Macaca fascicularis: one gene and its partner. The protein of the gene in region 1 interacts with the protein of each later gene in a biochemical or structural test. Links are inferred from orthologs where the notes say so. Each region holds a gene or a part of one and is shown in the gene's direction. Other genes may lie near its edges.

Region 1 (4,245 bases):
TACCTAGGACAGAAGGCTTTATTTTCACATTTTTTCAACTATTCTGTATTTACTTATGGTTCTTTTGGAAGGTTTTATTTTTTGTTTTATGATTTGTGACATGAGTCTAAGCTTATTCTTTGATCAGATGAAGAACAATTTGTTCTGTCACATCATATCATTTTTTTATTTGAAAATTCCAACTTTTTCCCTACTAGTGTGAAATGTCACTTTTATCATAAACTAATTTATATATATTACTTGGGTCTTTTTCTAGACTATTCTATTCTGTTGATCTCTTTTCCTTTTCTTAGGGCAGTATTACTCTTATCACAACTATGGTTTCCTAAAGTAAGTTTTGATATCTGATAGGGTAAAATATTCTGATTACCCTTTTTGAAAATTGTATTGGTGGTTATTATTATTACTCTTGAATTGAACTTTAGATTTTGGTTATAAAATCCCATTTAAGATATCTTGTTTGAGATTTATTGAATTTATTATTACTTTTGAGAACTATCTTTCTTTATAAATAAGGAATGTTTCTATACAGGAACATAGTATCTCTTCTCCATTTATGTAGATCTTTTATGTATTTCAGTAAAATTTTATTATATAACTTTAGTTACGGCAGTAATTGGGACTTCTTAAATAATGTTAAATAGTAGCAGATAGTGACCATTCTTCACTTGTTTCTGTTTTGTTGAGAATACTTTTATTGTTTCACATTAAATATGTAAGGTTGAGACATTCATTCGTAGTTAGAGTATTTTAAAATCAAGTTTTTATCAGGAATGAGATGATCATGTTTTATTTTTCTCTTTGTTAGTGTTATGAATTATACTAAAGATTCATTCTTGAATTTCTGGAAGTGGCTTTTTTTTTTTTTTTTTGAGATGGAGTCTCGCTCTGTCACCCAGGCTGGAGTACAGTGGTGTGATCTCAGCTCACTGCAAGCTCCACCTTCCGGGTTCACACCATTCTCCTGCCTCAGCCTCCCAAGTAGCTGGGACTACAGGCGCCCTCCTCCACGCCCAGCTAATTTTTTCTGTTTTTTAGTAGAGACGGGGTTTCACTGTGTTAGGCAGGATGGTCTCGATCTCCTGACCTCATGATCCACCCACCTTGACCTCCCAAAGTGCTGGGATTACAGGTGTGAGCCACTGCGCCCGGCCAGAGTGGCCTTTTTAATATAATGCTGAAGTCATTTTTCCAGAGTTGCCTATATAGTTTGCTTTTTTTATCCTTTCTTTTTTGCTTTGCTTATCTCATGATCTGTAACTTCTATTCGTACAGCCATATTCTTTATATAAGAAAACCATATTGGGTAAAGAAAGCAAAACTCAGTTCTATTAAAGAGTTATTATAGTTTGGTGCAAAAGCAATTGCGGTTTTTGCCATTAGGCAAATTGTTCATTTAGTTTTTTTATGCCTTAAAAACTACTTAACCAATTTAACATTTTTTTTTCTTTTTAAAGTTCATTGTAAAGGACTCTGTTGAAGAAAATATGCTGAAAATACAAAACAAAAAGAGAGAACTTGCAGCAGGAGCCTTTGGAACTAAAAAACCAAATGCTGACGAAATGAAACAAGCCAAAATTAATGAAATCAGAACATTAATTGATTTATAATTTGTGGGATTTTAGTAAGGTCAGTTTGATTGGATACTTAAGTTTTAGAAATGAGAAAAATACAGTTTTAGAAATGAGATCTAGAGAACATGTCTTCTAAAAGGGGCATATTGTTTTATATTAGTGAAGAGGTATTACTGACACAATTTCTTCTATATACGAACCTATTTTTAATGAAACTTCAAATAGCAATAAGTTCTCTTATATACTGTGGCCTAAAATAATTTTTTGAGAAAAAAGGTTACTTTGTTATTTAGCTTTTCATAGCATCTATGCTGAGTATTTTCATATATCTTCCAAGTACTCAGCTTTTTCGTATTTCAAATAAGGTCAGACCTTTTATACTTTTGACCAAATAGTTATTTTCTATGTTGGACACTTAGTTATTTACCAAAGCCTCCAATTTGTGATGCAGTGTTTGTAGTCCTTGCAAACAATATATACAGACCATACAAGAATTAATTTTATTGGGCTTTCAAAAACCGTATTTGCATTCCAGAACCAAATCTTAAATGAGACCAAAGTCCAGGTTAGCACAGGTTTTTATTTTTCCTACAGCTACATTGAGATATAATTCACATACGTGACTTGGAGTTTTATGTTCATGAAAAAATTAGGGATTATGTTAAGAGTACTATTTTTTCCATTTTAGTTAAGTAGTACTACACTCATTGTTTAAATGTAACTTGCTGTGTCTAGGGTGTAAATATAGTCTGTGGGAGTGAGAGGCAAACCAATCCTACCCAATTTGATTTGAATATTTTAAATTATGGAACTGCTAAATAGATATTTCTATAAATAGGTAATTTTTATTTATGTAGCTTTTTTTGGAAGTAACTTTATAAATTTTTATAATTCAGAAGACTACTATATGTGAGAGGCGTGATATCTGGATGGAAGTTGGGCTGGATGATCTCCAAAGTCGTTTCAACTCTTAAAGACATCTTAATCCTGAATGTAAAAAATTGTTGTGTTTAGAATCAGAATTTAATTTTGAACTTAAGTAATTCATCCTTACATCTATCCGTAGAGACTATCTTTTTTTTTTTTTTTTTTACTTTTTTGTTAATAAGCAAACTTATTTGCTGCAGAATTCTGGGTTGACTCCTGAGCATATTTAAAACAAACAAGCTAGAAATTTAGCAGTCAGATTAGGTAGGTGGTTTTATTTCAAAGGGAAACTTTAATCCAAAGATTAATTACTCTAACAAGAGAAGCTTCATGTTTGATGATACAGATGTAAGAATACCTGAGACTTTACTTGGAGTGTTGGAAGTGATTTGATAGAAAGATGAGATCAGAGACAATGTTGTGTTATAGGGCGCACATTGAAGGTATATGCCAAATCTCTCACCATCTAAGTCCTTTTCTCCCTGTGCCCTGTTTTTTTGCTCAAAGGGAACAGTGAATTAGCCAGCTAGAATCTTCCTGGTCCCTTTTTGAGGCGGTAGCAGGTAAGGAACGGGCTGATTTTCATCAAAACCAAGACCTTTCTACAGGGATGATAGTGGAATAATAATTTGGGATTAGCCCACTGGCATTAGGAGCAGTAGGGAAGTTACCTGGTAGATCAAGCATTACACACAAAAAAATCAAGTTGATCAGAGTATGGGTTCTCCATATAGCAATACTTCAGTGAGATTAAGTATAAACAGTTTTTGGCAAAAAACAACACAATCTACTCTTCCTGCTTACAAAGACAAAGCCTTACAAACTCACTGTGAAGGTAAAGGGAGGACAGCTTACTTCTTTGCCCAGATATTTACAAAGTTGTTTTTAAAACACACTCATAAGTTTGGCAATTTGTTTAAAAAATGTCTTGTTTTGTACAGTTCTGTTAGATGTTGTTAAATTTTAAAAAGTTTAATTAAAAAAATTTAATTTGTCCTTCCTAAGAAGGATAAATATATAAAAAAGCCACTGGAACGTAAACTTCCTATTATGCTATGCTGTTTTATTATTACATAGAAAAATAACTTTAGAAAAATATTGAAGACATTGTATTACCAGTTGTGATTCAAACAATTTTGTGGTTAAAACTGGATTTTAAATTTAAAAATCAATAAAAATTTCAAATGTTTATTACCCTCCTTGGTGCCATAATTTTGACTTTATTTTCAAATAAAATAAATCCTTCATTAATAGTGACCTTTCTATGCAAGTGTTACGTTTTTATTGAGAGTACACGAAGATTACTGTAACAGAATAATGTACTCATATCCTACCTTTATTTTACTCAATTTAACTGGCTGAAATTCTTGTTCAGAAATCAGAGTGCTTATTTAAAATGGCTTGATCTAAAAACATTGGTCCCAATTAATTTCCTCATCTGGAAGAAAAAAAGGAGTTGTGATAATACCTATATACACACAGATAGCACTCTGAATCACTGTATATTTTGTCCTTAAAATTACAGCTCTAGAATTGGAAACAGAAACTAACCACATGCAGTTTGTTACCAGTGAGTACTAATGAAATTATCTTCGGCAGTGTGTGCTGTTTTGGGGAATGGCAAATACATTGCTGTATTTTTTTCTTGTTTTATTTATAGTACTTGCCAAGATTTATGCATTAGCATTTGGATGAGCTTCATTAAAAATATAAGGGCACATTTGATGTTTGGCTTATAACAACT
Region 2 (2,926 bases), on another chromosome or scaffold:
TGCAGGCGTGAGCCACTGCACCCAGCCTGTGTATAGTCTTATATGTTGCTTGAGGTCAGCTGTAGATGACAGCTTATGGCCTTCTCAGCTCTTTCATAAGCCGGTGCATAGCCCTACACATGTGTGTGGTCTTCTGGATTCCCAGGCCTGTTTTGGGGCTTTTCAACACCTCTATAGACACCTCATTTCCCAGCTTGTCTGCTTAAGTATTTTGGTTACCTTCCGGTGTTTTTTTTTTTTTAGACAGAGTCTCACTCTGTCGCCCAGGCTGGAGTGCAATGGCGCAGTCTTGGCTCACTGAAGCCTCCACCTCCCAGGTTGAAGTGATTCTCCTGCCTCAGCCTCCCAAGGAGCTGGGAGTACAGGCATGTGCCACCACACCCGGCTAATTTTTGTATTTTTAGTAGAGGCGGGGTTTCACTATCTATGTTGGCCACCCTGGTCTCAAACTCCTGCCCTTGTGATCCACCCGCCTTGGCCTCCCAAAATGTTGGGATTACAGGTGTGAGCCACCACATCTGGCCCACCTTCCTGTTTGACTCAGCTTTTTTTGACAAATGCCCAACGTAGGAGGTGACTGAAGATAGGTGAGCTCTGAGGTCAGATAAAGGAAAGCTCTGTGAGTGGAGTTTTCCAGGGAACTGCAGGACAGGTCAAATGCTGACAGTTAACTGAATGGGCTTGCAAGGAGCTCCATCCCCATTCTGTTGCTCTTTCACAGAAGATTGATTTGGGTTGGGTGCGGTGGCTCATGCCTGTAATCCCAACACTTTGGGAGGCTGAGGCAGGTGGATCACTTGAGCTCAGGAGTTCGAGACCAGTCTGGGCAACATGGCGAAACCCCGTCTGTATGAAAAATAGAAAAATTAGCCAGGCGTGGTGGCGGGTGCCTGTAATCCCAGCTACTTGGGAGGCTGAGGCAGGAGAATTGCTTGAACCTGGGAGGCGGAAGTTGCAGTGAACTGGGATCATGTCACTGTACTCCAACCTGGGTGACAGAGTGAGACTCTCTCTCAAAAAAAAAAAAAAAAAATTAGGAATAGTGCATAGAATACATTGGAAAGAAAAATCTGAAAGCAGAGATCAGCTTAGTAGCTTTCGTCTAAATCTCAGTGTGAGATAATTCCCCAGATTTTGGGTAGTGCCATTGGAAATGGAGAGGAACTTTTTGACCTTACTCCATTAAGAAGGAATTGGTAAATTTATTTACAAAGTAGTTATTTAATATAACATTTATTTCTGATGACCAAAGTTCACTATATGTTTTATATCTTTATATTTTCCCAAGATATTACACTAATTATGATAAAATATACTAATTATGGTATTAGTAATTTCATAGTGTATGTTTTGTGAAAATAGAGGCAAGCTATGAATTTTCAAAATCATTCTTATTAAAATACACTTAACAAATTGATGCCATAGTACTTTAAACTTGCTAGTTAACTGTACTTTTTCCTCCCCTTTCAGGTGGATGCCCGGAGCATACCAGTGTTAGCAAAATGGCAAAATTCATATAGCATTAAAGTTGTACTTCAAGAGCTAAGACGTCTAATGATGTCCAAAGAAAATATGAAGCTTCCACAGCCACCAGAAGGACAAACATACAACAATTAATTTTAGTGGATCTCAAACTTGTCTTAAATCAACAACCTTCTACTCATGTTAATGTCTTGATTAAATATCACAATGAAAAATACCCACACATTAAGTAAAAGAATTCCAGCTGGTAAACATGACCTGGACATTTGTAAGAATATATTTAATACATGTACACCCATTATGTTTTCAGGTAACAGGAGGAAAAATGCAGCACAATTTTTTTTCTCTTGTTAAGGCACTGTCATTTAAACATAAACCTGGAGTACTCAAAGTAGAATTCAGGTTTACAAGATGAAAGCGTGTGGAGAAGTGTCAGATGGCAGTGGAAGCATGTGTGTTTCTAAAAAGTGAAAATCTCAAGAAAGAAAACAGAAATGGCATGCTTTACCCATCTTGCTTAGTGAAAGAGAGCTGCAGTTGAAATTGTTTAAAAAGTAGCAGGTACAACGAATATTGTCACAGATGTGTTAATTTTTGAAGCGGTGTGGGTGCTGACTACTAGTAGTATCAAAAATATGTTCAGGATTGTTTTGATACCTGTATTTATAATAAAAAATGTTGGGGGAAGTTGATGAATTTCTGTTAAAAGCTGTTCTTGTGTGTTACATGTAACAGACATGGTAAATATTTGTTTACAGTCTTTGTTTAACCATGCATTTAAGTTTAAGTGAAGTCAACAAAACGGAAATAGGTGTATGGATATGTGATTTGGAGATTAAAGTTAGTCTTAAAATGTAAATAAAATGTGGAACGTGTCCTCAGAGACTGTGCCATTTCTATTATGTTGATGTAGTATATGTACAGTACCATGCTAGGGAAGCAAAAATTGGAATTATGTAGCTTTTCCTGTATACACACTTTTATTTACCCTATTTTGTGTACTTCTTGTGAATTATAATGTGCAGACTATTTCAGAAAAGAAATTACCTAGTTTAATTTCTTCTTTGGACAAGGAGGAGTCCTAGGTATTATATTTTGAGTTTGATTTCACCAGAAATAATATTATTAAAAATATCTTTGCAGTCTAGCAATTCTTTTAGGATTATAGGTTGCAAATTATCCAAATACATATCCCATTTTTAAAATCATAACATCTTTTTTAGTTGTTTTTCTGTGAAGCTTTTGGTTAATAAATAGGGTGAACTAATTGGAGACTTTTATCTTCCAGTTAGGGCTTTTAATACTAACAAGGATAACTTTATTCATTCCACTGTTCTCTACTCTGACAAATATGAACTCTGAAGTTGAAAATTCATTTATGTTCTGCTTTTACCAAAGTGACATGAGGCGTTAGGTCACTATTTCACTTCAAAGTACTGGATAC

Evidence for each region.
Region 2: the proteins of HLTF (region 1) and UBE2V2 form a complex in vitro, tested with the Homo sapiens proteins (2 studies listed by BioGRID). The link is inferred for Macaca fascicularis from reciprocal best matches to the Homo sapiens genes HLTF and UBE2V2.

What each region holds. Positions count from the first base shown.
Region 1 is NC_088376.1:51,844,765-51,849,009, reverse strand, and holds the end of HLTF (helicase-like transcription factor), read left to right. Parts: intron 1-1,457; coding exon 1,458-1,610; 3' UTR 1,611-3,700; downstream 3,701-4,245. UniProt on the Homo sapiens protein: Has both helicase and E3 ubiquitin ligase activities. Possesses intrinsic ATP-dependent nucleosome-remodeling activity; This activity may be required for transcriptional activation or repression of specific target promoters.
Region 2 is NC_088382.1:57,952,359-57,955,284, forward strand, and holds the end of UBE2V2 (ubiquitin-conjugating enzyme E2 variant 2), read left to right. Parts: intron 1-1,470; coding exon 1,471-1,617; 3' UTR 1,618-2,363; downstream 2,364-2,926. UniProt on the Homo sapiens protein: Has no ubiquitin ligase activity on its own. The UBE2V2/UBE2N heterodimer catalyzes the synthesis of non-canonical poly-ubiquitin chains that are linked through 'Lys-63'. This type of poly-ubiquitination does not lead to protein degradation by the proteasome.